2 linked regions of the Canis lupus familiaris genome follow. The protein of the gene in region 1 interacts with the protein of each later gene in a biochemical or structural test. Links are inferred from orthologs where the notes say so. Each region holds a gene or a part of one and is shown on either strand. Other genes may lie near its edges.

Region 1 (16,578 bases):
TGCCCATGCCTTGATTACTGGCTCAGGAACAATTAGAGACATTATAGATGAGTCATTTTTTTGAACTAAGCCCTGATGGTTATAAAGTTTTAGCAGACAGTGGAATTTGGTAAAAGAATTCCAACAAAAGTTTGCAAAGGAAACTGTATAAAGAGAAGCAAGGAAGTAGCTATAAACTCCGCGTGAGTGGTGCTCATATCTAGTTACATACGGTAGCCACCAGCACGGTGCATAATAATTATTTATTGAAAGGTGGATGACTTTCAGAGGGAGTGCTATCGTATGAGAATGACTCTCATTCTTTTCTTTATAGTTAGATAAATTGAAGCATAGAAACAAAATAGCTTGCCCAAAATATTTTTAGGGCTGGTGTTTATTAGCTTTTATGAGCTAAAGAAGTTTGATCCCATTTATAAGCCTAATTCTTAGGGACTACCGAGGGAAAGAAACCTGTTGGCCTTGACATTCTTTACTCCTTCCTTGGGGTCCAGTCCCACACTAATGGGACTAGATGCTTTCTAGTTGAAAGAGATCATGAAAGCAATAGGCCATTATGTTGAAACCCAAACTGACCCGATTACTGTGTGCATGCCTTTCTTTGACTATTAAAGAAGAGGAATTTTGTGTCTGTGCATGTTTAAGAATGATTACATTCAAGTTTTGGAGGAGAAAGTTACAAAATTCACAAAAATATTTTTTCTTATCTTGGCGCAATAGTTTTCCACTCTATCAGGGTATATGTCAGGCATTTGTCTAGGGGCTGAGGGTTTCTTTTTTTTAGGAACTTCTTTTAAAAGAAGTATACTATGCAAATCTCTTTCTCCATGGCCTTAGGGTACCATAAAGGACATAATATACAAGGTCCAGAGTGTAGAAGAAGAGACAGCATGTGCTTCTTGGCATAAACCATCTTTGTGGGGATCCCTGGGTGGCTTAGCGGTTTGGCGCCTGCCTTGGGCCAGGGTGTGATCCTGGGGTCTTGGGATCGAGTCCCGCATCAGGCTCCTTGCATGGAGCCTGCTTTCCCTCTGCCTGTGTCTCTGCTTCTCTCTCTCTCTCTCTGTATTTCTCATGAATAAATAAAATCTTAAAAAAAATCTTTGTATGAAAACAGCAGTCTTTCCCATTCCCCACACAAACCAAGCCAGAAGGATCATGAAAGGGCCCAGAACCCCACAGGTCAGTGCACACAGCCCCATTCTTATAGGGGCGAATTCTCTGTGGGTATTTCCTCATAGAGAACTTATGTTGAAAAGTAGGGCAAACTGAAAAGCAGTTTCATTCAGAATATGAAAAAGTCTGTTATTTTATGGACTTGAGTGGGCAGGACCATAAGCAGGTGGTTTTTCAAATTACTGGACTTTCCAGATGCTGCTTACTATTGCAGCTGTTCTCACTGTAAGCCCTTTTAAAATGGAGCCAACACTGCTATTAATTGGAAGAATAAGCCACATCGTGAGCTTTTTCATAATTCAAAGGTATTTTTCATAGTTCAAATTATTTTTTGGTGACAGGAGATGGAGAAGAAAGAAGAGACTTTGTTTTAAGAATCACTTAAAATGTATATCATTGTTGAAAGTGTTTGCGGATGCGTAAGAATAAATAATATCCCTCATTTTAGTATTGTTTTTTGCTCAGTGATGTGAGAAAATTTCCCGCCAAAAATGACCATCCTGCTCCTTTACAAGCAGGGGATTCTGAAATCTGTGCATGATCTCATTTGTGGCAAAATATCCGTCACCACTCACCATCGTGTGGAGCTGTCTCCTAAACAAACAGACAAACGAAACCAATACCAATTCCAACGGAAGAGAGTAATAACAGGGTGTTGAGGGCTTTGAGACAATCTGATCTTTTAAATCTTAGGCTTTGATTATATGTATATCAAATAAATATGGAATTTGTAATTGCCATTATATTGAGATCAATCAATCACTTTAGGATGCCTTCCAGTTGAAAAAGATCAAGAAGACGTTGGGATGTCATTTTGAAATCAGAACCGATCTGATTACCATGTGTATGACTTTTTTTTTGGCTGCCAAAGAAAATTTTGTGTTTGAGCATATTTAAGAATGATTATATTCAAGTTTTATGATGGAAAGTTACAAATGTATATTTTTATTTTCAAACAGAAGTCTTCTCTCAGATGTTCTGATTCTTCTCAGGACTAATCTCAGAATCATCTCAATTCATTTCTCCCCTCATAGCAATAGTCTACATGAATCACATAATCTTGTCCATTCTTCCCTTTATCATACATTTCAAAATATCTGTTTTGCACAGTGACCGTCTGAAAACATGGATAAAAATTTTAAACTTCTATGGCCCTTAAATTTCTTTCAAGGGATTGGAAGTTGGGCTGGGAGCCATTATGTTCTCTTCCAATTCTAAAATCCTGTCATTTTATGCTTCTCTGATTTTGTCTCCAGTGCCACTGCACACTGTCCTTCTTTTTCATGTCTAGACCACAGTGCAATTACGTCTTCACTGTTCTCTGCTCAACCAGACTGGCTACCTTTCATCACATCCTGTAGCTTAGCCAGTCATCTTTGAGAAAGCCCACCCTCATCTTGTCATACTCAAGCCTGAAGTCTTGCCTTCTCACTGTTGAGATGATAAAGTCCAAACTTCTCATGAGTGCTGGATAAAGGCCTCTGCCAAGTGGCCATGATCAGTCCGTTCACCTTTATGACCTACCACTCTGCCACGTGAATTCTCTGCTTTCAATCAAAATGGGCTACGAAACCTTCCATCATGCCCGGTATGAGACATTCCCATCTCCATGCCTTGCTTATTTTGAAGCCCTCCTGTGCTTTTCTCAGCTGTTTGCCCTTCATGATCCAACTCAGACTGTACTCCTTCATGCCCTTCTCTATTAAACTATCTAGAATCCATCTTCCTTCCCCGACCCCATTGTCCTATCCACAGTAGGATCTCCCTAACACTACCAATACCATTCACTTAAAAAAAAACAAACTTTATTGAAGAATAATTGACAAATATAATTGTATGTATTCAAGGTGTACAATGTTGGATGCCTGGGTGGCTCAGTGGATGAGTGTCTGCCTTCAGCTCAGGTCGTGGCCCCGGGGTCCTGGGATCGACTCCTCTATCAATCCCTGCAGGGAGCCTGCTTGTCCCTCTGCCTGTGTCTCTGCCTCTCTCTGTGTGTCTCTCATGAATAAATAAAATCTTAAAACGAAAACAAAACCAAAAAACCCCGAAGTGTACAATGTGATGATCTGATATACACCTACATTGTTTGATTACCAAGATCAACATAGTATCATTCACTTTTTAAAAACCTTTTTATTATTCAATATTCAATACTGCTTACTTTTTTCCTTTTTTTATTTCCCCCCCACTCCCCCTAAATACTGCTTGCTTTTGATTTATTACCAAAATGATAATGAGAAGGTTCACAGTAGAGACCACATAAAATAGCATGTCAATTAAAAAAGAAAGTGAAAATACAAAACCAAGAGTGGGAGAGGGTAGTGATGCATATTAATGAAACTTAAAATCTAACTATGTTTCCTAGTAGTCAAAGCAGAAAAGGATCCATTAGTTACCATTTGGCAGTGACTTAGTATTGTGTTATAGTGTATTCTTTAAAACTTTTTATCCATATGCGTCTTGTCTCTCTAACTCTAACCCTTGTGATTGCTACAACTTATTTTAGGAATTATGCTTTCTAGTATGTCGTGCAGTGTATAGTCTAGCATAGGGTGAGTTTAACAAATTAATTTATTGGTGGCTAATATGATGTCAGAATCATAAATCTGATGTTTTATTTATATGGAAATTCCAGTTAAGTACATAGTAAACATACAAATGAAAATGTGAACATGAAAAGAAGACATAGAAATTTCAGAGGGAGAATGAAGGGTCTGAAGTTGTCATCGCTTTAATCAGAGGAAATTTTAAAAAGCATTCATAGCCTACTATTTTGGTATAAATGTCTATAGAGATGTAATATAGTACAGCAGACCTTTAGGTAAGGTAGGAGACCGAACTTCTTGGAATTAAATTGTATAGACTAATCTGCTGACTTTTCTTTCTCTCCCTGAGTAGCTGTTTTATGAGACTGAAAGGATACTGTGCAGATACACCATGCTGCGCCTCACACTGTACATCAGGGTTTCATTTCTTCTCCATCTAGAGTTCTTTTTCTAAACTTGGTATAAGAGCCTTTTTAAAATGTAAAGAACTAGTCTGGCGCTGTCCAAAAGCAATTTCCAGGATGATGGAAATGTTATAAGCCTGTGCTGTCCAATTTGGGAGCCAGTAACCTCGTGTTGAGAACTCAGGATGTGGCTAGTGTGCCTAAAGAACTGAATTTTAATTATAATAATGTTAACTACTTGAAATTTAAACGGAAAGAGCCACAACTGGCTAGTGATTATAGAATTGGCAAAGGCAGCTCTTACAGAGCTGCTTGCCTTTAAACAGAACTTTCCATACCTGATTTGGTACCCTGATCACTGTTTCTTTATTATTACCTGACATTTTAAGCTACCATGCATTAACAGTAAAACTTTGGATGTTTTTGTTATTTTAAGAAGTCTATGTTGTCAAAAGTAAAATTTAGGAAAGTTTATTTACTGCCGTGTAACATGGAGAGGGTCATACTTGTTTCTGTCATCATGTTTGTGCTGGGACTCATAGAAAGCACTTTTTTTTTTTTTTTTGAAAAGCACTTCTAAAACAGGAGTCTCTGCAGGTTATAGGCTACCCCTCCTGGGCTACTGCAGATGTCACTCTTTGGACAGAAATTGGACTTGTAGCCTGGGCCTCTCTCTGCAGGAAGTCCTCCGAAGTCCTTTCTCAACTAGGCCTCTGAGTAAATGGGCCTACCAAATTCTTCCCAAGGTGGATTTTTCTGTCTGAGTGTCTTGTTTTGCTCATAGGCGCAAATGGGAGGGGTTTGCTTTCTCTAGGCCAGCAGGAGCTTGCTGCAACTCTTCCTTTTAATTTTTTTTTTTTTTAATATGAGGATCCCCACACTTGCTCTTTGAAATGCTATTCTGTTAACTGCTATTTCCTCTAAGCCTGTTATGCCTTTTTTCCATCTGCGTTGAAGTCTCTTTTCCCAGTGGGGCCTTTCTTTCTCAGCTTAGTCATGCTATGTGTGGAGACCCACATCCACACTGCTGGCCTCTCTGACTCATCCTGGGAGGCTTGCTTGCTCCAGGAACCCCACTCACACTGCGGTGGAACAACAGGGAGGCTCCAATGAAGCCAGCCCTTTCTGAAATCTGCCTCTTTTCCTGGCATCTCTTCTTCTTGTCCAAAGCTACATGAGAAGGAGAAAAAGCAAAAATGTCTTTCCCTCTCTTTAAGGTGACGCTTTTAGTAAATCGTTTTTAGCAATTCTAATTTCAAGTTTATAAGCTACTTTTTTTTTTTATTGCTGCTGCTTTTAAATATTTCATAATCTGGCTAGTAGAAAAACCTACTAATGCTCCAATTTTCCTTTTTCCTCTACCAGCAAGCCAAGAGAGTCAATTCTGACAGTTACATTTTCCTTCCCGTTACAGGTTAAATTGTTTCCCTTTTTGAAATAAATTATTCATAAATGTGCATAGTCTCTGAACTATGGCTCTTCCCAGCCCCAGATAGGAGACTGGGTAGGTGGAAATTGCTCATCTGCCCCATTGGCTGTTCTGGAGTTGTGCAGAACTGGGTCTTCACGCTATAATCTTCCAGGCCAGGATTTTCCTTGGCCCTCCCCACTCCTCAAAGAAAACCCTCTGCCAAGAATGGCTCAAGCCCATGATTTCCCAATCCAGATGGATTCGGACAATAAATTTCCCTGACTTAATTTGCTAAGAGGGTCAAAGTTGAATAATATAATGATAATCAAAAATTGATCACTGACTCAAATCTAAGTTTGGCCAATAGCTCATTCAGATGCCTTATTATTTTTTTTTAAAAAAATCACCAAACACATTCTGAAAATATAAAAAGGAACTCCAGCCTGAGTGTCTCATTAACTCGGGGAAGCCTGACCCAGGCAGTCACTAAAGAAGTGACTTTATATACCTAGCTAGGGGTGTCTATGGGAGAAATCCAGAGGCGCTCATTATTTTTGGTTGTGGAAATTAGCTTGGTCGTGCACGAGTACCACTTTTTCCCCCTCCAGTTAAGATGCTCTCTCTCCATATATGTGATATATAATATATCAATCTGAAGCATTTTTACCCACCTTATTATAGTTAAGAAAATAACTTGAGGTTACCCTGATTTGAGCTGGGACAACCTGCCCACTCGGTATCCCATAGATCATCGAGCCACAAAGAACTTACACAGTGACCTTACTTGCTTTAATTCTAGGTGCAATAGGGCGCCCCCCTTCGCTAGAGTTTAAGCCTGGGAACAGGCAAGAGGGTGCCCCGCAGGGCCAAGCGCCTCACTCGCCCAAGGAGCGCGGGCCAACCTGTCGCGGAGATCTGGAGGTGTGTTGGCCGGGGAGAAGTGGGGTTCTAGGAGGAGGGCAGTCAGCGAGATTCCAGCCGAACTAGCCGGCGGGGTGATGGGGGAGGGCAAGGTGGGGGGACTGCGGGGCCCCGCGTCCTCAAGCGCAGGAGGCAGCGCGCGCGGGCCCAGGTAGCGGAGGATGCTCGGAGCGCCCCGGGGCGGGCGGGGCCGCCTCCCCTACCTTGACCACGTCGTCGTTGAGATGCTTGGGGTCGCGGTTGACCAGGTCGATTTCCTTGGTGTGCGCGTCGTACACCTGCTTCTCGCTCATCTCCTCCGCCATGGCCTTGTTGTTGGGCTTGTAGATGTTGCCCTGCTCCCGGATGGGAACGGTGTAGAGGTGCCCCTGCGCGGGGTGGGGGGGGGACGGCGGGGTGCGGGAGGGGGGGGCGGAGATGGGAAGAAAATGTCAAAAAAGGCAATGCCAGAAAAAGGAAATGTCAAAAAGGAAATGTCAAAAAGGAAAACGAGCGGTGCGGCGGCCCTGGAGGTCGCCCGCCAACTGGCCGCTCGGGCGCCGCCGGCGCTTAAGAGGATGGAGGCGAGGACACCACACCCCTCGGTGCCCGCGGGGAGCCCCGGCCTCCGCCGCCCGCCGCCAGGGGTCAGCGCGCACCCGCGCCGCCCCCGCCCGCGCCCGCCCCGCGCGCCCCCCAGCGACCGCGGGGACCCGTCCCCGGCTGCGGGGCGCCCCTCCCCCACCCTGCTCTCCAGAAGCTCTCCGGCGTCTCCCTCGGGCCCGCTGGAGCCCCCGGGACCCCCCGGAGGGGCCCCCTTTCTGCCCCTTTCTGCCGCACCTCCCCGACACCTGCTGGCTCGCCGCACTCTCCGCGCCCCCCGCCCCCGCGGGGCTCAGCGTCCCGAAAGCGCCCGTGTCGGGAGCAGCGCCCCCCGCCCCCCTGCAGACCGCCCCGAACCGCGACCTCGCACCTGCCCGGCGCCCCCGACCTCCCCGACCTCCCGCAGGTCCCTCCTAGGCCGCCGGCGGGGCGCGGGGCGGAGGGCGAGTTTGGGGAGCGAGATCCCCGCGCGGACGAGGGGTGGCACTGGGAGGGGAGGGCGGGCAGGGACAGGAGGGGAGGGGAGGGGAGGGCAGGTCCCCCCTCTGCAAACACCCCGCCGGGCGCCGCGATGCTGGAAGGGTTCTTGAGGCGGCCCGAGGGCTTCGGGCGGTGCCAGCCGGTCCAGGCGCCTGGCGGAGCGGCGGGGACGGTCCCCCGGATCGCGGGGGGATGGCGGCGCACCCCGCGTCCCCGATCGCAGCCCCCCAGCGCGCAGGGGCTGGGCCGTGCGGGTCCCGACCTAAAGCAGCGCCCCGGGCCCGCCCACGACCCAGGAGCGTGCTCTGGTCCCCATCTCGGGACCCCGGGGCGCCCCCCGCCCCCACTTTCAGCCTCCCTCTGGTTTAGGGCCCGCCGGCCCCCCTTTCCGAAGAGCAGCCTGGACGACATTCCTGCCCCCTCTTCAGCTCCCCGCCCAGGCCCATTCCTCGGAGGTGCCCGCGCCGGGGGAGCGCCCGGCGGCCGACCGCGGGGGGTGGGGTGGGGGTGGGGTGGGGGTGGGGGCGCCCCGGGGGCTCCCCGCGCGCACCCCGCGAGCCTACCTCGGAGTCTACGTATTTGCCCCCAGACATGCTGGCCGGTGGCTGGGTGAAGGCTCCGAGGTTTCCCTGGGCTGTTATTCAAGGGAACCGAGGAAGGAAGATCTTGTATTGTGCAGGGGGGGGGGGGGGGGGGGCGGGGAGGCGCAGGCGGGGGGCGGCGGCTGGGAGGGAGCCTGCTGGCCGCGGGCCCGGGGCTTGCCGCGAGCGCCCGGCCGGGACCTGCGCGCCGGGTCCGGGCACATCCCCGGGGTTCGGCGGCGCGGGGCGGGGAGCGCGCGGGGAGCGCCCCGCGGGGGTGGCCTAGACCTGGGGCGCACGTCCCCGGGGGGCTCGCGGCGGCGTCCTGCGGGGGCGCGGGGTTGGCGCGGGGCGTCGCGCTCCTCCCCGCGCTCCTCCCCGCGCATCTGCCCGCGGAGAAGCCGCCTCCCCGCCCCCATCCCCGCCCGCCCAGCTCTCCCCCACTGTCACCGGGAGGAAAGGGACGAAAAAGGGCGCAGGACTTTTGGGCACGATGCGCCCCCGACGGCGAGCAAGCACACGTGCGCGCGCGGTGCAGGTGGCGACGCGCCGGCTCACACCTGGCGGCCCCGGACAGGACACACAGACACGCGGAACTCCAGTTTCCCCGCCGCTTCTGAAAGCCCCCCCTGCCCTGCCCCCCAACCCTCTGAAGCAAACGAGAATGGCAGGCTTCGCCCATCTTTCTGGAACTTTCTGGAAACTTATGCCCACACGTTGTGCCACATTTCCAAAAGACGTAAAAATATTTACAGTTGTAGGAATATTTAGTGGGAGCTTCAAGTTTGTCATAGAGGACTTTTTCTTTGCACTTTTTCTAATTTTTTTTTCTATTTTTTTTTTTTTTCTAATGCACTTGCCCGTGCGTTAGAGGAGACCCGGTTCTTCTAGGAACCGATCTGAAGTTTAACAAATCGTTAGCAGTTATTTGCAAATGTTTTCTCTATTCCTGAATGTGCGGCTGCTATCTTTTTATAAAGCGTACGCCTAAGGTGAATGGAACAATAAGCAGTAGTTTTACATCTGGGCTATGGAGAAGTCAAGAAGTTCACTGTCTTTTGGCCTGTGGCTCCATATGCAATCAGAAGGAGAACTAGAGGGGCGGCCCGGGTGGCTCAGCGGTTTAGCGCCGCCTTCAGCCCAGGGCCTGACCCTGGAGACCCAGGATCAAGCCCTGCATCAGGCTCCCTGCATGGAGCCTGCTTCTCCCTCTGCCTGTGCCTCTGCTTTTCTCTCTCTCTGTGTCTCTCATTAATAAATAAGTAAAATCTTTTTTTAAAAAAATAAAAAGTAATAATTAAAAAAGTAAAATTAGAAAAATGATTTTAAAAATTTAAAAAAAGTAAAATCAGGACTTGAAATAGAAAATCTGACAATCTATCTGAAGGGGCACAGGTTACAGGAAACATTTTGGTGGTCTGTCCATAAAGGCGGAGGCACAAAAGGAGGAGGAGAACGGGTAATAGAGGATGGGACCCTTGGAATTGATTATCTAGTTAGAATATATGGAACTGTAAAAGAACTATAAAGGACAGGCTATTGTTGGTGGTAAAAAGCAATACAACCTTTAAATTCTTTTTTTTAAAATTTATTTATTTATGATAGACATAGAGAGAGAGAGAGAGAGAGAGAGGCAGAGACACAGGCAGAGGGAGAAGCAGGCTCCATGCAGGGAGCCCGATGTGGGACTCGATCCAGAGGTTCCAGGACCAGACCCTGGACTGAAGGCTGCGCTAAACCACTGAGCCACCCGGGCTGCGCCAATTTTTAATTTTTTAATTTTTTTCAATTTTTTTTTTTAAAGATCAGTTTCAATTATATGGCAGGGGAAATGTTACAAACGTTGGCGTTAATTATGCTGGCTAGTCATGATTAGAACTCTAAAGATCTTCTAACAATTGGGCTTTAAAATTTTTATTTCTGCCAAAATCCACTTGTAGATTCTTTGAACATATTGTGTGTGAAGAAGCATGACATGCTAGCAAAGAGTGGTGTCAGGGTCACCGGGTTGTGCGGTGCCCCGCTTACCTCTGACGGTTGCTGGAGGACTGCTGTTCATCTAGCTCTTCCTTCATGAGCGTTGGTTACAAAGCAGTTGTGGTTATGGCCAATGGAAAAATGTGGAAACCGTTTCCCATCTATTGTTGTTCAGTCTTCAGCTGCGATGAGTAATCTTGACTGTGAAAAAAGTCAACAGGAACAGGGAGAGAGTGTGTCCTGCATTCCAGCAAGGAATGGACTTTCCGGGGAGGCCTGTGAGTGAATGCTTAACGAGCTCAACCCAGGCAGGTCCATGGCGAAGCCAAATCAACAGCAGCGCCCGGAATCATAATGATCAGTGAAGCGTTGTCAATGCCAAAATGAATTCCTAATGAGAGGAAAAACCACAAACTCTTCGTTAACCTGCCTCAACAAGAAGTTAGACCCAAAAAGAAACAGATTGTATTCTGGTTATAATAGCTGAATTGAAGAATTGGCTCCACCTTCATGAGAAATAAAGATGAATAATGTTGTTAGCGTAGGTATAAGATCTGAAATGGATAGATGATATAATGAATAAAATAGTTTTTCTTCGATACCCCTAAAGATAACTTTAGGCTTGGAGGCAAGTTAATAAATTTCTCCAAATCATTTACTAAAAAATGACCACATGGCGACTTATTTGCCCCCCCTTTATTTTTTTTTAAAGAAGCAACCTTAAAGGGCAGCTCATGCTTTATAGGTTACTAAAAATATAGAGCTAAAAGGGACACCATTCATCCAAATCAGTTGTCTTAGAGATGCGGAGATTGAAGTCTAAATACATAAAAAAGAAAAAATAAATAAATACATAAAAATGATTTGTTCTTGAAGAGTTTTGCGGGAGTAAGGAGCATTTTAAAGTTGATAAATAACTAGAGTTCCTGTTAGTAGTTTCTGGGACATAGGATTCTTAAGTAACCTGGGGAGATCTACTCACGGTAAAATTGTGAAGTTAGTTGCCTTTTGTGTTCTCTTATCTTCTGCAGCCCCTGCTCCCCAACCTCTCAGGTCCCCACCACCCCAGGTCCTCTTACGCTAAACTGGCTTCAGCTGATTTCCACTCTAGGATTAGAAGTCCAAGGTTTGACTGCTTACAGTGATACTGGTGGTTTTAAGAAGCAGGAACCTTTCCAATGTTTATCAACACCGAGAAGCCCAAGACTGCCCAACTATGACTTTGTCAGTGAGTTCAGAAAAGAGATTACAGTTACCCCTAGGTGTGATATAGAAAGAATAACAACCAGGGTGACAGAGCACCCAGCTGGCGTTCCCAACGTGGGTCACAGCTCTGGAGCCTTGGAGTCCCGCTGGCTAGTGAGTTGCTAGCTCATTGGGAGGTTGGGGGCCTTAAGGAGAAAGTCAGAAGGGGAAGAGGGAACATTTCAGAGGGTGTCTATTTACATGCATAAATACCAACATTTTTACAAGCTCTGTGTTCAGCTGAACATTTATCCTGTTTTTCAGCATCACCACCTCACACGCCTTCTACTGAATTCCATTCAGGCCTTCTTCCCATACCTGCTTTACCTTCTTCCATCCTTCCATTTATATATGGAAAAAAATTAGCTTTCTAGATGAAAATCTGGCTAATCCTCTGATCCCTTTTTATCCCTCTTCTGGCTTGAAGTGGTCCCCTGGACTCTTCCTTGTTGTGCCTTTCCATTTTGAGTATTTTAAATATTTTTTTCTATTTATTTTCTTAAAAAAGAACAAACAACTATTTGTACATTCAAAAATCTTCCTGAAAAGATGAGAAAATATTTTTTTCATCCAGTTTTTTTTTTTTTTTTTAAATTAACTTCACTCCGCTTATTTGTAAAACGGAACACATATTGACATCTTAGCGGTGCCATGAACATTTAATGAGGTGATGCACTTAAAGCACAGAAGATACTGCGTAAGTCTTAACAGATGCTAGGGGTAGGGACAAATTTCAGCCTACAGGTTCAGAATCAAAATAAATATATTTTAAAGTATTTTTCTTGTAACATAGCTTAACCATCCAAGATACGGCAAATTGTATAATCAAATATCATTTTGCCATATTTGCTTCAGATTTTTTAAAAGTAGAAAACATGGTTACTACTGAAATCCCTTGTGAGATGTAACTCTCTCTTTTTTTGTAACAGAGCTTAATTTCTTTCACCCCCCCCCCCCGCCCCCCATACCTTCAGGTGGCAGAAACTTTTCTGCCATTTTGCTGGGATTGCACCTACTTCCCAGGGGCTTCTGAATTGCTACGGAATCTCAGGGTGGGTCTGGGGAGGAGTCTCTTCCTTCGCTGTGCATCTTGGATCTGCTGATAGGTACATCATCATCCTGTCTATCTTCAATCATTGGTCCATTCAGGGTGTTGCTACTCTGTCCTTCATGTTCATTCAAAATGCTCTTTAGGCCCAGAGACACTTTTTGCTACTTCTGTGTTTTTTTTGTTTTTGCTTTTTTTTTAATTGGGCCTCTATTTACATCTAATACATTTGAATGGGCAGGCCTGATGTAGCAGCCTGGAGCCACCCATGGTGAAGGTGCTGCAGAGAAGAAATGCCCTGCCGGGGTACAGAGAAACTCTAGGGGTTGCTATCTCCACAGGCCCTACTCAGAAACAGGAGGCACAACTGTCTTAGCGATTATATCCTCTTAATTTATCTGAGCCTTGGCTAAAGACACACATATGTCAAAAATCTTTTTGCTTATTTTCCCAATTTCCTCCCCCTTGCACAGGAAGCCATGCTTGCATATCACCCAACAATTTTTGTGTGACCTGAATTCCCCCAGGCATTCACCAGGGGTTTTGGAATCAAGAAAAGCCTTATCTCTGCTTTTCTGCTGTAAGGATCCTTCCCTAGGCTTAGAGGTGGGTGGGGTAAGGGAGTGCTCCAGGGGCTACTAGAAAAGAACGTAAGTTAACGTATCAGAAGTGTCATCATTAAGTTTTCTTTTTTTCCTTCAACCAAATCCTGCCAAGATTTTGCCAGAAACATCTGATAAGCTCTATCTGGTATTTCTGAATTATAACAAACCCTTAAATCCAAATTTTAAATATTTAATATTTCATTGATAGCCATTATTTACATTTATTTATATTTCATTGATAACCTTGTGTTAAGGCTTTTATCCTTCTAATTAACTCAAAATATTGATAGTGGAATAATATATCTGGCCTTTAGCTATCATGTCAGTTTACTTTCCAATTTTCTTATCAAATGCTTTGTTATCCAAGACCAAACCAATCTGACTGGTTATTTAATATTATTGAAATAAGATTAATTCTTGGGAAAGCTTTTGGATAGCAAATCCTGTGTAGAAAAGTACAATTCTTCTTGGTGTCCTAACTAAAATTGGTAAAGGTATAGTTGTACACACTGAATCAGTGTGGATGAGGCTTTCTGGCTATGTCTGAGTGATATCACAATAGCTAATTAAAAGTGAAAGATGATGTGAAACAACACTTTTTTGTCATCATATATCCACTACATATTTTAAAACTGAATTTTAGGGTGTATCAATCAATTAGTGCTACAATCATTTGGCATCAATAAACTACTACAAAACTCAGTAGCTCAAGAACAACCGTTCGTTCACACAGACCTATGGGTTGGGTGGGCTGGGGCTCAGTTGATGTAGGCTAGGGCCACTGGGGCAGCTCTGCTTTTCACTGTAAGTCTGTGCTGGCTCTGTTCCATATCTCTGTGCTCCTTGGACCCTCAAGCTATTGGGGAAGATTCTTCTCATGATCCAAGAAGTAGCAGATACAAAAAAGGAAGAGGAAAAATATGCCATAGGTTCCTGGAAGCCTAGACCTGGAAATGACACTGCCCCATTCTGTAGGGCAAGGTAAGTCACGTGACCTAGGCCAAAGTCAAGGGTTGGGAAGTGAATTTCATCAATGAGGCCAGGGCAGGGTGTGAATACAGGAAGGCGTAAAGATCCCAAATCTACATTCAGTGTATTCATCGTTAGGAACTGGTTTTTGGGTTTAGTTTTCCATGTTTTAATCTAGTTTATGAGATATACCCTTTTGCTGTCTTTTAGTTCCCATAAAGCTATACATAGTTTATTAAAAAATCTTCCCAATAAGTAATTGATAAAAAAATCTCTTAATCTTAAATGCCAACTTCTGTATGAAGTTTTTTTTTTGTTTTTTTTTTTAAGATTTTATTTATTTATTCATGGGAGAGAGTGAGAGGCACAGACACAGGCAGAGGGAGAAGCAGGCTCCATGCAGGGAGCCCGATGTGGGACTTGATCCCGGGTCTCCAGGATCATACCCTGGGCCGAAGGCAGGCGTTAAACCACTGAGCCACCTCGGCTGCCCTGTATGAAGATTCTTACATATGATACTTGACAGAGGACGTCAGTGAGAGGGACCTAGACAGGTCATAAGATGCGCTCTCCTGCCTTAACACAGAATGTGATTTTCCAGACAGTTAACAATTTATCCTACTTTCAAAACACTAGGCCATCATCTTGTTATCATTGGCATCACCATTATTATTATTTTGAATTATTGTTTTGGATTTTATTGTTGTTCTGATAAAATTTTTGGCTTTCTTTGAGAATGTAGCAAAATATTGTCTCTAAAAGTAGGTGTTCAAAACTTATTTCCTTACATTTTCTTTTACTTATAAAATATTTTCTTTGAGATACTTTTTTATAAATAATATTAAAAGCAGGGCAGCCTGGGTGGCTCAGCGGTTTAGTGCCCCCTTCGGCCCAGGGTGTGATCCTGGAGACCGGGGATCGAGTCCCACCTCGGGCTCCCTGCATGGAGCCTGCTTCTCCCTCTGCCTGTGTCTCTGCCTCTCTCTCTCTCTCTGTGTCTCTCATTAATAAATAAATAAAATCTTAAAAAAATATATAAAAGCAAAATCACAAAAACAGTCTGGTTTGTCATCTTAAAAGTAAATTTAAATATTGAGAAAATGCTAAATGATAAGCAAATACAAATCACATTGAGTTCTTTTTTTAATTTGTGCTTGGATCCATGAAGATTTCCAGGTTCAATTTATCATCTCATTATAAAGACATAAGAAATCAAACTATCTGCTATGAAATTAGATTATCTACCTATTTTGACTATTTTAATAACTGGATTATAATAGCCTTAACAAAATAACTGATCCAGCATTATTTATTTATTTAAAGATTTGGTCTAGCATTCTTTCTTTCAAAGATTTCTTTATTTGAGAGAGATAGGGGAGGGGAGGGGCAGAGGGAGAGAAAATCGCACACGGATTTTGGGGGGCTTAATCTGATGATCTCTTGACCCTGAGATGAAATCAAGAGTTGGATGCTTAACCGACTGGATCACCCAGGTGCCCCTGGCCTAGCATTCTTTAAAAAGAGAAAATCTTAGTCCAAACTTAGAGCCAAATAGTAATATAACCTAAGGATAATGCATTCAGAAAGCACGAACTGAAAGGTAAATAAATGTTTGGCTCATCTTGTCATCTAGATAGATTTATATCAATAATAAAAATAATAATCACAGTTTTATCTAATCCAACATTGAAAATATTAAATGTGAGAATTGGGCATAGCAATTTTTAGAAAAATTGGGATCAAGTGATGAACCAGATTACTACATTTCATCTAATTGAGAGAAGTAGAATGTTTAGATATGCGGATAATGACTACATTTCCTCCTATTCAAGCAAAACAAAATTATGGCCACCCTTTAGAAGTGTGGAAACTCCATAGTCATTCAAAGTATAACTTAGAAAAAACAAAACAAAACAAAGTATAACTTAGAAAACCTAATAGGACAAAATATAATACGATATGATATAATGTTATGTAGCATATCTGCAATATTTACCATTTTATAATATACTAGTAGAGTGATTTTTTTACTAGGAGTGTTTTAATAGCATATTAGAATAAAAATAAACAGTGTATTAGAGCATCACATCTTTTATTTTAACAAATAATTTAAAAATTCCATTTCAATGATAATGAAATGATAAAGAATAAAATGACATTATCCCCCGAACACCAGCAAAAGTTATAAGGAGATACAGACTTCCATATTTTTCCTAAGTTAATGTAAATATTTGGGAGGAGCCCTCCACAAAAGCTCTTTGTTTTGTAACCAACCCGCCTGGCTTTAAGTCAGAGCTCCATTATATAACAACGGAAACTCTCTTTCCTTTTGGCCCTTTCCCTAGTAAATAAACTATTTACCAGGAGCTGCTTTTTACCTGGGGGAGATTTATCTCCACAACTACTCCCTTTGAGGCGATGATGCTCAATCCTAGAGCATTTCACTCTTTAAAAGGTGTATCTAAGTTCATATTAACCATTCATTCAGTGGTTTGGTCTTTACAGAGAACTCTACTTTCTTACAATCATATGATGAGTGAGTTTGTTTTTTCACTAATTTCAGAGAAAATCTGTGATTGCAACATTAGCTTTCCTATGCACTAGAGGATGGGCTTCATTCTGCACTACTGGTT
Region 2 (14,522 bases), on another chromosome or scaffold:
TGGTAGAGCTTCAGGAGGTGAAACTCATAAAAGCATGGGCTCCTTTCCCTGAGGTTTTTAACTCTCAGACTTCTCCACATTGAGCATCCAGACTTTGTCAATTATACCTTGAATTTTCCAGTCCCAGTACTGGTTTCAATGGAGGTTTCTGCATCTGAGTTTCTGCTCTGCTAAGCTGTGCTTCTCCGTATGGCCTATCTCTCAAATTTGGGGGGCAGGGGAAGCATTTTATCCTATCACCTCACTGCCCTAAGAGATCTAAGAAGAGTACTGAGCTTTCAGTTTGTTCAGATTTTTACTTGTTATTAGGATAAAGTGGTAAGTTTCAAGCTCCTTATGTACTGGTGAAGAGATTGGAAGTCCCAATCCTGATATTTAATAGGTGAGTGTGTTCTCACTATGCCCACTGTTCGACCTGCTTACACACCCCTGCACTTCCTTATTCCCTTTTGAGATTCCCAACTCTAACACAAGGACTGGTTCAGTCTACCTTGGCTCATCTGAGTAGTTATGACATGCAACCGTGAAAAATGAAGAAAAAGAAAAGTCAGGGGTGAGGGTTAATTGACAGAAAGAAAGAAGACCAGCTTTTCATAAAACTCAGAAATGGTTATTATCTGGTATTTCTTCATGGGTTTATGTGACAATATTTTTTTAATTAAAAAAATATTCTTTATGGCCTTAAAACTTCTATTTTATATAGCCAAGAATGGCCTTTTGTAAGTAGCATTTCTGTCCTTTACGGAACAGATAGACTCTGTGGCATACCTTTGCTAAAGAAGCTCATAAGAATAACCCTAAAGCAGGATGGCAAAATTTCTCTTCAAGCCAGCATGCCATGAATGAAAAGATGTGGGGCAACTTCCACTCCCTCTGAATGAATCACTAAATCAACCAAAGTGGAAGGGAGGGTCATGGAAAGAGCCTCCATGCCGGAGATAGTAGATCAGAGCATTCTTGCATGTCTGAGTGGTAAAACCCTGTTCAACAATAAAAATATGTGTCTCAAAAACGTTAGTTCATTTAGGGGGCACTTGGGTTAACAGTCTGCCTTCAGCTCAGGTCATCATTCTGGAGTCCTGGGATCCAGCCCCACTCAGCTGGCTCCCTGCTCAGCAGGGAATCTGCTTCTCCCTTACCCTCTGTCCACCCACTCCCCTGCTTTCTTCCTTTCTCTTTCTCTCAAATGAATAAAAAAATATCGTTTTAAAAAATGTTACCCATTCAGAATTTGGGGTATTAAGACTTTTTTTTAATTTTCTTTTAACTCATATAATGGCTTATTCAATTAATAAATATTTAATTCCTTTTCCGTATACTCAGGAGTTAAATCTAAAATAAGTACTGCACATGTAGACTTTTGTGACTATTATGACATCAGACACAGAAATCTACCTACCAATCTCCACAGCATCACAAAGAAAAAGAAGTTGATAGAAATTCAAGCAGCAGAAGGGGGCAGTAAAACTCAACAGAATACTCTGGCAGATTTTTAATATGCTTTCTTATTTTTTCTTCATAGAGAGAATTTCCCAATACATTTTGGAGACTAACTTAAAAAAAGTCTGATATATATATATATATATATACATATATATATATATATACATATATATATATATTATACACAGAACACTAAATATACACAAAAGTGAGAGCTATGATTTTACATAATCAAAACCTTATTTTTTATTGTGTGATATATCATAGTACTTTTCCACATAAAACAGGTTTAGCTGTTTGGATTTGGTTTGGGACATTTCATTATCCCCTCATGACCAGGAATCCCAAATGTACTATCCACTCTATGTCATGGTCTCAGACTTGTCAAAATTACTTAATAAATGATATCCTAATGGTTTTTCCTCAAGCCCATACTTGGACTTCTTTCTAAACTGTGTCCATCCTTCAAGTGTCATTTTCTCTTTGAACTCTCTTCTGACTGTAGAGGTACATGGAAATCTCTCCATTCTATCATGCCACTGAAGTTACAGGTTAAACCAAGCAGTTGAACCACATAGATTTTTTTCATTGAACTTCCACTGTGAGCGAGAGTTCAATTTCTTTACATTCCAAGTAGTCTAAATGTGATTATTCTCTAGACTGTTTTGTCCTCATCTTTGAATTCAGTCTCCACATTAGGATCTAATAAGGAGGATATCGATGATGAGGACTTCAACACGAATTCAGGATTGCAATGTAAAACTTTAGTACACTACCAGAGTCAGAGTATGGACTCCTACATGACACCTAAAAATTAAGCTCAAATGAGTGGCCCTAAATATCACTTTAAAATTTGAATACATACAACCTACTCATTTAATAGAAAATGGAATTATTAAAAAATTATGCTCTTAGTTTTAATTTCACGTAGGATTTAATACAATAAATGGGAGTGTCACAAATCGAATGATTAAATATGACTAGAGGAGGAAAAAGGCTTCATGGATGAGATGGAATTTTAGTCATTTGTGTCTCATGTAAAAATCAGATATTGTGTACCTTAAGCAAAATGGTAAGAAAAAAAAAATTCCAAGTGAGTCTCTTTTTCAAGACTCCTACAGACTGAAGTATCCGGTGTCGTTTTACTTTAGGTTCTATGCTGTTATTTCTATTAGTGCTAAGAATGTATGGCTTAACAGAACTTGTTATTCTCCACTTTGCTGCTGGTCACTAACTTTCCTCTCTCTCTCTCTCTCTCTCATTTCGCCCTTACATCACCAACCAAAAGATATTAAATAAAAGCAAAGGACGATGAAATTTTAAATTGTCAAAATCATCCGTCTTTTCCACCCATTCTACTCACTTCCTCATCAAAGTATGTTCCAAAATGAGAATAGAAAATTTGCACTCTTAAGCCCAATTGAAAAAAGTAAATGCAATGTTGTATTTTGATCCACCGTCACAGTCCTCCTCGTCTCTGAAAAGTGGGCAGAAAGACAAAAAAAGCAAACTTAAAAAAAAAAAAAAAACTAGTTTCTTCTCCGTGTATCTCCTGTGAAGGGCTGGTGGCCAAAGTGGTGAAAGAAATGCACGAAAGCAGATGTGCTGAGCTTTTAGCATCCCGGCAGATCCCTCATCACAAGAGGGGAAACACGGTAGCTCAAGCTCGGACCGACTGTTGGCAGGATCGCCGCTTAGGAGCAGTCCTGGGGCGAGGAACCAACAGCTTACAGATGTGCACACTGACTCCAGCTATTCTATTTCATTCAGCCAAAATTTTTAGAAAATCGTAATGTATGGATGTATGTGCTACACGTACACTAGGTGACGGGTCGCCACGAACATCATGACATGTTTGACATACATGACGTAACCCGTGTCAGCCTTTCCTGGCCCCGTCTGTCCAGACTGTGACTCCTCGGGCCCGCAAAGACCTGGGCATGAGACGCGGGGGTGGCCGCGCGGGGAGATTCCCTGCGTCCTGGGACCTCCGGCCGCTCGGATTCCGGGAGAGGAGGCCCCGGATTCTCCCTCCCGGCAGGGGGACCCGCCGCGGCGCCCGCGCGCTCTCCGAAGCTCCCGGTCAAAGACTGCGGAGAAAGGGAATCCGGCGCCAATCGCCCTCCGGAACCGAGGGGGGCAATTCGCTTTGCACCCCCTTGGGGAAGTCCGAGGCAGCTTCTCGGGTTTCCGATTTTCTCATTTGCGTGGAGTCAAAAAAAAAAAAAAAAATCCTTACGCAATTATTAAGTAGACAGGGGGAGGGGAGAGTGATGGGGGGGAGGGGGGTGGAAAGAAACAGTCATGCGTCACGTGGGCTTAGTTATCATGCATAAAAGGAAGGTTCCGTCCGTTAGCGACTAGTTGTCAAACAACTTGCAGCGAGCGTCTGGAGCACGCTCGGGAACTCCGCACAGCGCCTGCCTCCTCCAGCGCCGCAGCCCCGAGCCCAGGACGGGAACGCCTCCGCCGCCGCCTCCGCCTCCGCCGCCGCCTCTGCCACCGCCCGCGCTCCGCCCGCGCCCCGCCCGCCGCCGCGATGCTGGCCCGCGCCCTGGTGCTCTGCGCCGCCCTGGCGGTCGTCCGCGCAGGTGGGTACCTGGCTCCCCGCCGCGGGGACTCCTCGGCTGGGTGATCGCCGCGGAGCTTCCGCTCGGACCGCCGGGACCCGCTCGGGGCTTTGATGATGTTTGACCTGGTAAAGGGCTTGGACCGTTTGGGGCCCCAAGGACTGGGTGTCTCTCCGAGCTTTGCCACCTGCTCTGCTCAGCCTGAGCCAGTCACTTAGCGGGTGTGGGTCTCCCTTGTCATCCGCTAATACGTAGGACTGAGTAGGGATACTAATTTGCCGATGGTCATTATGATAAGGCTCGGGATCAATCAATATAGGAGATGTTCTGCTCTTGGGGAGTGGGAGGAACTGGTTTACGTACCCTAGTTGGTGCTTTCCTGACCCAGGAAAGCCCAGGTTACTTTTTGAAGATAAGCAAAACATTTTAACAATAAGCTGTTTTTACGCTGAAATTTCTCCCACATTTTGATTAATTGTACTAGATACCTCCACTTGACTTTTGAGGGTGCTACTTCTGTGAGGTCCTTAAAAATGCTAATTTGAACATCTCCAAAGTTACTAAAGACAGCTTGGCAACATCGCTTCCCTGGTTGAACGTTGTTGGCCTTATTGAATTTAGATTTCTTGAATTTATTTATGTAAAGTTGATCCATACAATTCAATGTTAAATGAAGATTAAAGAATGAATCATTTACTGTCCTTACTTTTTTTTGTAGCAAATCCTTGCTGTTCCCACCCATGTCAAAACCAAGGTATTTGTATGAGCACAGGATTTGACCAGTATAAGTGTGACTGTACCCGAACAGGATTCTACGGCGAAAACTGCTCAACACGTAAGTGTGCCCTTGGGGGTGCCCTCATTTGGACTGGGGATATGTCCAGTTACCAATTTGCATACTAGTGTCTCATAATGGGTCCTATTAATCTTTCCCTCTTCTGTTTTTGCAGCGGAATTTCTGACAAGAATAAAATTATACCTGAAACCCACTCCAAATACAGTACACTACATACTTACCCACTTCAAGGGAGTCTGGAACATTGTCAATAACATCCCCTTCCTGCGAAATACAATTATGAAATATGTGTTGACATGTAAGTACAAGTCTCTTTCTAAGGTTTTCAATTTCCTCAAAGAAAAATGTTCTTTATAAGACTTTAGATTATTAAACCTTTTAAGATTTTATTTATTTGAGAGAATGAACCTGAGTGGGGGGAGGGGTGGAGGGAGAAGCAGACTCCCTGCCGAGCAGGGAGCCAGACAAGGGACTCAATCCAAGGACCCTGGGATCATGACCTGAGCCAAGGGCAGAGCTACCCAGCCGCCCCTTTGCCCTCTATCTTAATGGCCCAAAATATTGACATTTCGGTCCCATTCAGTTTGTAAAGTTCTGTCTCAAATTCAGAATTCTACTTACAATCCTGTATACCTCTTCTAAATTCACTGCTCTTACCAATCTGAAAGAAGCGTGGTCCAGTTGTTAATTGAATATCCATGGACCACTGGTTTACAATAGGTTATCTTTGATGGAATTAAATTCGGTCTTTAGTGCCACTTTGCACTTTGTACAATAAAAGTGAACATTGATATGTCTTGCGTATAGGAACAAATAAAACAATATTTTTTTTCTTAAATTTCAGCCCGGTCACATTTGATTGAGAGTCCACCAACTTATAATGTGAACTACGGCTATAAAAGCTGGGAAGCCTTTTCTAACCTCTCCTATTATACCAGAGCTCTTCCCCCTGTACCTGATGACTGTCCAACACCCATGGGTGTGAAAGGTGAGTACGGGGAGGCAGTTAGACATGTATTCATTGCAATAGGGATTGGGTTGCTACCTAGAAAATTCAGCCCTGAACTATCATTTATTTGTTAATAAAAGCATATTTTTTGCTTGAGGATATCTGTGAATCTCTAAACTATTAAACTATCCTATGAAAGTGGACATTTTGGTATAATATCTTCACATTTTCAAATTCTTTCACTAAAACCAAATTAATACTAGTTAAAGTAAAACTATTCAATGTTTCCCTATATCTTAGAACTTCCATTTGTATTATAATCCTATTTACACAGATGAATACAGTTCACACCTTTATTTCTCCTGTAAGTGAAGAAAGCCCCAGACTAAATTGACATTCACTGCTTGCTTGAACTTGTAAATGAATTCTTATCTTAGCTTTCTCATTCTTCAGGCAAGAAAGAGCTTCCTGATTCAAAAGAGATTGTGGAAAAGTTTCTTCTGCGAAGAAAGTTCATTCCTGATCCCCAAGGCACCAATATGATGTTTGCATTCTTTGCCCAGCACTTTACCCATCAATTTTTCAAGACAGATCATAAGCGAGGACCAGCTTTCACCAAAGGATTGGGCCATGGGGTAAGAAATTCAAATTATAGCAAAAGTCATACTGAGTACTGATATGAAGGAGATATATATACACACCAAATCACTCCCTTGTTAAAAAATTCCATCTATAAAAACCTTAGTGGAATTTCCATTTTAATTCACTTGTTTAGTAAAAATACTCAAGCACACACACGCATATATACAGACATTATTATTTGTAATTTGAATCTTACATTTTTACTTTAAAATATTAGCACTGCAAAAAGTTGCATCTTCGAAAAAGCTATTTGTACTCTGGTTATGCTGCTTTAAATATTGAGATTTTTGCAGCATTATTACACAGTTCCAACTTACCAGTAAGAATTTTATATCAATAATATATTTTCTGATGCTTATTAAAGGAAATACCATATAGTGAAGCATATTATATACTTATAACTCTACACAAGACATAGGTTTGTAGTGTCAGAGGACAAACTAATTTACTATTTAGTGGTTGTGAGAGAAACGTGTTTTATCAAATTATTTATTATTTAATGATGAATTACATTATAGAAACTTTATAGAACTTCAACAGCAACAAATTAAAATTTTTCCATAATCTTCCAGGTGGACTTAAATCATGTTTATGGGGAAACTTTGGATAGACAACATAAACTGCGCCTTTTCAAGGATGGAAAAATGAAATATCAGGTTTGTTCCATTGGAATATTAAGAATTGACTCACAACTAACCCATATTTAAAAACTTCCCCTGATTAAAATTTAATGTTTGTACTACTGTTGTTTCTTAGGTAATTGATGGAGAGGTGTATCCTCCTACCGTCAAAGATACTCAGGTCGAGATGATCTACCCACCTCATGTTCCTGAACACCTGCAGTTTGCTGTGGGCCAGGAGGTCTTTGGTCTGGTGCCTGGTCTGATGATGTATGCCACCATTTGGCTGCGGGAGCATAACAGAGTGTGTGATGTGCTTAAACAGGAGCACCCAGAATGGGATGATGAGCGGTTATTCCAGACGAGCAGGCTAATACTGATAGGTAAGCAAGAAGAGAAAATAATTTCAATAAAACCCTCTCCCCCAGAGAAAGCTGGCATGTTACTTTTTATCCGTTTTAAGTAATTCTGGGAGAATGTAGTGAATGGAAAATCACATGCTCCATATTTCAGTCTTTGAGCGTGATTGAGGGTATTAATACTTTTCTGTTTTGTTGGTAAACCAGGACAAAATAGAAGTGAAAGAATAGCAGATTAACAAGATTGCATTTCAGTTGCTTGATCAGAGAATTAATGCTCTAATTTTTTTGTTGTTGTTGTGTAAATAGGAGAAACCATTAAGATTGTGATTGAAGACTATGTACAACACTTGAGTGGCTATCACTTCAAGCTGAAGTTTGACCCAGAGCTGCTTTTCAACCAACAATTCCAGTACCAAAACCGCATTGCTGCTGAGTTTAACACACTCTACCACTGGCATCCCCTCCTGCCTGACACCTTGCAAATAGATGACCAGGAGTACAATTTCCAACAGTTTATCTACAACAACTCTATATTATTGGAACATGGCCTTACCCAGTTTGTGGAATCATTCAGCAGGCAAATTGCTGGCAGGGTAAGCCTTGTTATTGAAAAAACAAAGGACTAATCAGAATTTCTGCCACCAAAGTGATCTTTCTGAACTCTTACTGAAAGTTTAATATTTTGCTAGCCAATTCTTTTAAAAAGCCCAATTTTTGGAAGTCTAAACTTGTAGTCTCCAGCTATCAAATAGCGATATGTAGTCATAGCTTAATATTTTTGAAAACTATTCTATAATTAGAATCTGCAGATTATAGAAATATTTCTAACTTATTTTGGGTCTCAGCTGGGAGCATTAGTCTTCCCTCCTTTGTACCCAAGGAATGAATGCTTTTAAAGTAGAGATCATCATAAAGATGCCTAAGACCTTATTCTACAATTTAATTCATTTCCCATAGGTTGCCGGTGGCAGGAATGTTCCAGCTGCAGTACAACAAGTAGCAAAAGCTTCGATTGACCAGAGCAGACAGATGAAATACCAGTCTCTTAATGAGTATCGCAAACGCTTTAGGCTGAAGCCCTATACATCATTCGAAGAACTTACAGGTGAGAGAAACTTCTTAAGAATCAAGGGTCAAATGGAAACAAGTTGAAAGGGAATTGAGCAAAGGGTTAAAACTTTTTTTTTTGGTAAAGTTTTTTATACATTAGTTGAATATCTGTTTTTGTCACCTTCACAGGAGAGAAGGAAATGGCTGCGGGGTTGGAGGCCCTTTATGGTGATATTGATGCCATGGAGCTGTATCCTGCCCTCTTGGTAGAAAAGCCTCGTCCAGATGCCATCTTTGGTGAGACCATGGTAGAAATGGGAGCACCATTCTCCTTGAAAGGACTTATGGGTAATCCCATCTGTTCACCTGACTACTGGAAGCCTAGCACCTTTGGTGGAGAAGTAGGCTTTAAAATCATCAACACTGCCTCAATCCAGTCTCTCATCTGCAATAACGTGAAGGGCTGTCCATTCACTGCATTCTCTGTTCAAGACGGACAACTCACCAAAACAGTCACCATTAATGCAAGCTCTTCGCACTCCGGTCTAGATGACATCAATCCCACAGTCCTACTGAAAGAACGGTCAACTGAACTATAGAAGCCTGTTAATCCTATTTATTTATTTATATGGACGATTCCTTTTAACTTAATTATTTAATATTTATGTTAAACTCCTTATGTTACTTAACATCTGTTAAGGAGAAAGGGGTCATACTTGTGAAGATTTTCATGTCACTATTTTAAAGATGTCTTCGGGTTAAAGAGGAAAAGTTTTCTGTTTTATAAATGAGTTTGACATCCTTTTACTTGAATTTCAGTTTATATTATTATTATGAACAAAAGCGAAGATGTTGGATATTTAAATGCTGTTCCAGGATGACAAAATGCTGCAAGTTTTTTTCGACACTATCGGGATTTCTAGTGTATCTTCCCTGGTGCATTAGAAGCAACTACCTGCACACTTTCTTTTCTTCTGTTAGCCACTGTGCTGGTAGAAACTCTCTTCTGATCAGTTTACTTTCTTGTTTCCTTGATTTTTAAGATCTGAGTATACCTTTCTTTGGACTCTGTCTATACTTTCTTACCTGAACTTGTGTAAGTTTTCAGGAAAACCTCAACTCAGGACTACTAGTAATTTAGCTCCTCTTAAGAGGAATGAAAGGAAAAAAAAAAAACAGCCCTTAAAGGACTCTATACACAACAGTATACACTTATTTTAAGTGAAAGGCAGCGATCTTTTTGTAAATTTTAAATTGTAACAGAAGGCTTCAATGAGGCTAATGACTGACAAAGAACTGTAGGGGGTTCTTGATGGAAGGAAGTCGTATTTCTATTAAGAATATCCTTTCTCATTTAAAAGCAAAGTCAAATTCTGAATAGTTCCCGGGAAGATAATGTTTCTTTTCCACATCTCATTGTCAGCTGACATTTGCTGGTACTGTATACTTAATTTATTGAGGATTATTATTTGTTTTGTTAGGATGTTATTATAAACTAGGTTTAAGCTGCAATCATTTTTTTTTTTTTTGCATTATGTGAGAATCAGTATATCTTCTTTGAGATTAACTCTGAATTATTATGTAAACACTAAGAGAAATTATTTGAGATCTGTGAGTAAATTTTCAGGAACCCAACTCTGGTATATTGAAATATGGCAAGTTGGAATTGAAATATAGATTTCCCTATATACCAGCCCACAGAGAACACTGTGTCTCATTAACCTGCATGTACCATAAGATCTTTACAGTTTTGAGGGACCTATGGATCCTTCATTAAGTCATTCAGCTATAACTTATTGAGGACACAGGTGCAAATATCACTGTGGGTTTTAATATTTTTTGTGGATTCTAATATTTTTAAATCATGCACTGATTACAGATAACATCAGTATTTGTAAATGAGAAAGCATGTCTTTAGGTAGAGAAAGAAAATGAAATTTTATTAAAGGAAATAACTCAGGGGAATTTTTAAGATTTTATGTTTAAAAAGTTAAGAAATAGTCAATATTAGAAGGGCTTATGTAAAAACTTCACTGAAAGAAATTTTGTTATTAATATCAATGCCGACTGAATTCGGAGTATAATATATGAATGTTTTGGTGCCTCAGACAAATGTGTATTTAAATTAACTTATGTAAGATGTAAGTGTTAACAAATGCCTGTTTATTTTTATACTATCTAAGAATGAAAAATCTCTTCTAAAATAAATTTTTGACTGTTTCCATATATCTTTGTCATGATGTATGATTTCTCTGAAGCATCTATTCCAAACCAGACTAGCTGTTAATGAAATGATTCTGCCCTCCATCAGAGGTATCCTAGGATCAGTTATCCCTTGTTCACTATAACACTGTATTGGAAAATGTGTGCTTTGTGCTATCAGATAGCAACAATTGTGTTTTGATTGCCTAATCTAGAAGGAAAAAAAACAAGTACAAAGTACACAGAAGGCAAAGAATAAGACAATGTCTTATTTTGAAGGTACAAAATAAAGGTACAAAATTAAGGTACAAAATTAAGAAGTTCAAAGAGATGTTCTATTCAGTTGATACCTGGCTCATGGACTTCTGTTTTCCCAATCATGGTAATTTGATAATATCAATATCCACATGGACCACCTATTTAACATCCTACCCGGCTTTTCTCTTCCTTGACCTTCTTCATTCCTGTGATGGCTTCTTCCACCTTATTTTCTATGACTATACATATCTTGATCTTATCATCAGTTGCTATACCATTACCAAAATCTTGATTTCAAGCATCTTCCTTGACTCCCCTTCTAACTCACCTATCTTAGTACTCACACTTTAACATGTTACTCCCTCTCTAGTTCCACTGAGCCTACTGATCCATTGGCCTCATCACTATTCATTACCCTCATTTATCTCATTTCCTTACAATCACTCGTCTACTTTCTCTCCATTGCACTTAACAGGCTTGATTTCATTTCTGCCATCCTTATCTGCTTATTTGACTTCTTAGTAGCATTCAGCACAAATGTCTGTAGTTTCTTTCAGTAAAGATTTTTTTCCCCTTGGCTTCTTGGTTTGATACTTTCCTGGTCTTCACCTTCAGACTTAAAAAATCTCATCCTCCACTGTATCTATAAATTGTAGTATCTTAATTCCCTGCTTTTTATCCGCCCTCTTCCAGGTTAATCTCATCTAAGAACTTGAAACATTAATTATCACTCCCAAACATTTCTCCAGAACAATCTCAAACTGTCAATTGACAACTTATCCACTCAAATCCATACATTTAATGTCCTATTTTACAATCTCTGCCCTCTTTGTACCAATCCAAAATAATCATCCAAAGGACACCACCATGCTGTTCTCAAGCAAAAAACCCCACTTTCCTTCACACCCATAGTCAATCCCACAGCAATCTTGTTGATTATAACTACAAACAAATTCTACACCTCTCACCTTTTCTCTAACTCCAATACTACTAACCTAGTTGATACAGTTCTCTCTCAACTGGCCTTCCTTCTATTCTTGCCTCATTCCAAACCATTCTCCTTATAATGATGAGAGTGATCATTTTCAAACATACATCAGATATGCTCCTCTCCTGGTTGAAATCTTCCAATGACTTCCTATTACACAATGGATAAACCTAAACTCCTCATCCTATCTTAAAGTGTCTCAGTAATCAGACAGACCCCTGCCTATCTGATCTCATCTACCATAATGTCCTACCTTTGTTTTCTGTGCTCCAACCACATCTGCTTTCTTCTGATTTGTTCACCATCAGGGGTTCTCAAGCTGCTGCCTCTGTTTAGAATGCTCCTTCTTCTGATTTCCACATGGCTAGAACCTTCTCAATGTCCAAATCTTGGCTCAGATGTCTGCTTCTCAGAAAGGCCTTCTCCAATCACCAAACTAACTACTCTTTAAGCTCTTTCATCTTCTTTTTGGTGTTTGTTTCTGTTATTATCTTGATTTGTATGTTTATTATCTGTGTCCCCTCAGTAGAATTTCATGTCTATGAAAGCAAGGACCTTGTTTGCATTATTTACTGCTCTCAGAACAGTGTCTGGTACTTAAAGGGCATTACAAAATATTCAGTAGGTGAACAAGAATAAACTTCATGAAAAAAGTAAAATATATGGTGATTCTTAAAGAAAGAGTAAGCTCTTAGAAGACAGAGATATCCACTCTGGAAAAAATATTTGGACAGTTTTTCTAAAACTAAAAATTCCCTTATCATGTATATTAGTTTTCTATTGATGTTATGACAAATCACTACAAATTTACTGGCTTCATACAACACAAATTTATTATCTACAGTCCTAGAGGTCAGAAATAAGACAGATCCAATGTGTTAAAATCAAGGTGTCAGTAGTGTTGTGTTTCTTCTGGAAGCTCTAGAGAGAATCTGTCTCTCACCTTTTCTGGCTTCAAGAGGCTAACTGCATTACTTGGTTCATGGTCCCTTTCTTTATCTTCAAAGCAGCAGGATAGCACCTTCTAATATCTCTGACTCTGATCCTCTTGCCTCCCTCTCATCAGGACCTTTTTTTATTACTTTGGGCCAATAAAAATAATCTGGGAAAATCTCCCTTCCTCAAGATTCATAATTTTTTTCACATACACAAAGTCCCCTGGGCCCTGCATGTAAGGCAACTTATTCACAGGTTCTAGAGATTAGAGTCTAGAAATCTTTGGAGGACCATTATTTTACCTACCACATTATACAAGCCAGCAATTGTACTCTCAGGCATTTATCCCAGAAGAATAACTATGTTCACATAAAAATTTGTGTATGAAAGTTCATAACAACTTTATTCATAATTGCCCCAAACTGGAAATAATTCAATATCCTTCAAAAGGTTAACTGTTAAACAGACTGTGGCAAACTGTGGTAGAGCCACACCATGCAGTACTATGTAGTGAAACAAACACAACTAATGATACATGCAATAACTTGAATGGAACTCAAAGGAGTTATGCTGAGTGAAAAAAAAAAAAAAGCCAGTCTCACAAGGTTATCTATTATCATATATATAATATATCTATTATATATATGATCTGATATTGTGCTGATTGAATATTTTTGCAACTTGATTGAGGTGGTAGTTACACAAAGCTACAGATGTGACATAATTGCATAAAACTATGCACATACACTCACACAAATGCATGTATAAATGGTGAAATCAGGGTAAGTCTGTGGGTTGTACTGAGGTAAATTTCCTGATTTTGATATTGGATTATAATTATGTAAGATGTCAACATTAGAGGAGGTGGTATGAAGGTTGCATGGTATCTCCCTATACATTTCTTTGCAACTTCCTGCAAATTCATAGTTATTTAAAAATAAAAAGTTTTTTTTTTAAAAGGAAGAGATGCAATGCCATTCTTGTTGGCAAGAATAAGTTTACAGGCCACTTTTGTAATTTGATTTCCTTGACTTTTATCCAAACTGCCACAATAGACTGTCTTAGAGTGGATACCTAACCAAGCTGGGAAAATAAAATTCTCTCGAAAAAAAATTCAGAATTAGGATGGAGATTCTAGTTCATTCTGACAACTGCATAGTTGACAATGGTAGCAATGCAATCTAATGGATAAACCAACAAAAGTCTTTTCAAAAAATGATATGAGAACAATGAGATTAACGAAGTTTACTTCCTAAAATTAGAAAAGTTGCTCATCAAAAGACTATGCTGGGAAAATGAATAGACATGCCACAGATCAGAAAATAGTCATGACACACACATTTAACAAGGACTGGAATATAGAACATATAAATAACTCTAAATAGTTTAAAAAATTAAGTAGAATAAGCAGAAGACATAAGCAGAAACTGACTGAGAAAGATATATGAATATCCAGTAAGTATATGAAAATATGTTGAACATCATTAGTCATCAGGGAAATGCAAACTAAAACCATGGTAAGCTATACTAGACACTTATTAGATTGATTAAAATTTAAAAGATTAAGTGTAATGGTTAATTTTATATGTCAACTTGGCTAAGATACGATGCCCATTCGTCTGGTGAAACACCAGTCTAGATGTTCCTGTGAAAGAATTTTTAGATATAATTAACATTGAAATAAGTAGACTTTGTGTAAAGCATAT

Evidence for each region.
Region 2: the proteins of CAV1 (region 1) and PTGS2 form a complex in vitro, tested with the Homo sapiens proteins (2 studies listed by BioGRID). The link is inferred for Canis lupus familiaris from reciprocal best matches to the Homo sapiens genes CAV1 and PTGS2.

The regions. Positions count from the first base shown.
Region 1 is NC_049235.1:55,582,063-55,598,640, reverse strand, and holds the start of CAV1 (caveolin-1), read right to left. Parts: upstream 8,114-16,578; coding exon 8,084-8,113; intron 6,827-8,083; coding exon 6,662-6,826; intron 1-6,661. UniProt on the Homo sapiens protein: May act as a scaffolding protein within caveolar membranes. Forms a stable heterooligomeric complex with CAV2 that targets to lipid rafts and drives caveolae formation. Mediates the recruitment of CAVIN proteins (CAVIN1/2/3/4) to the caveolae.
Region 2 is NC_049228.1:19,549,090-19,563,611, reverse strand, and holds PTGS2 (prostaglandin G/H synthase 2 precursor), read left to right. Parts: upstream 1-3,833; 5' UTR 3,834-3,852; intron 3,853-3,974; 5' UTR 3,975-3,982; coding exon 3,983-4,034; intron 4,035-4,731; coding exon 4,732-4,848; intron 4,849-4,963; coding exon 4,964-5,107; intron 5,108-5,653; coding exon 5,654-5,797; intron 5,798-6,211; coding exon 6,212-6,393; intron 6,394-6,972; coding exon 6,973-7,056; intron 7,057-7,156; coding exon 7,157-7,403; intron 7,404-7,688; coding exon 7,689-7,975; intron 7,976-8,339; coding exon 8,340-8,487; intron 8,488-8,621; coding exon 8,622-9,031; 3' UTR 9,032-10,658; downstream 10,659-14,522. UniProt on the Homo sapiens protein: Dual cyclooxygenase and peroxidase in the biosynthesis pathway of prostanoids, a class of C20 oxylipins mainly derived from arachidonate ((5Z,8Z,11Z,14Z)-eicosatetraenoate, AA, C20:4(n-6)), with a particular role in the inflammatory response.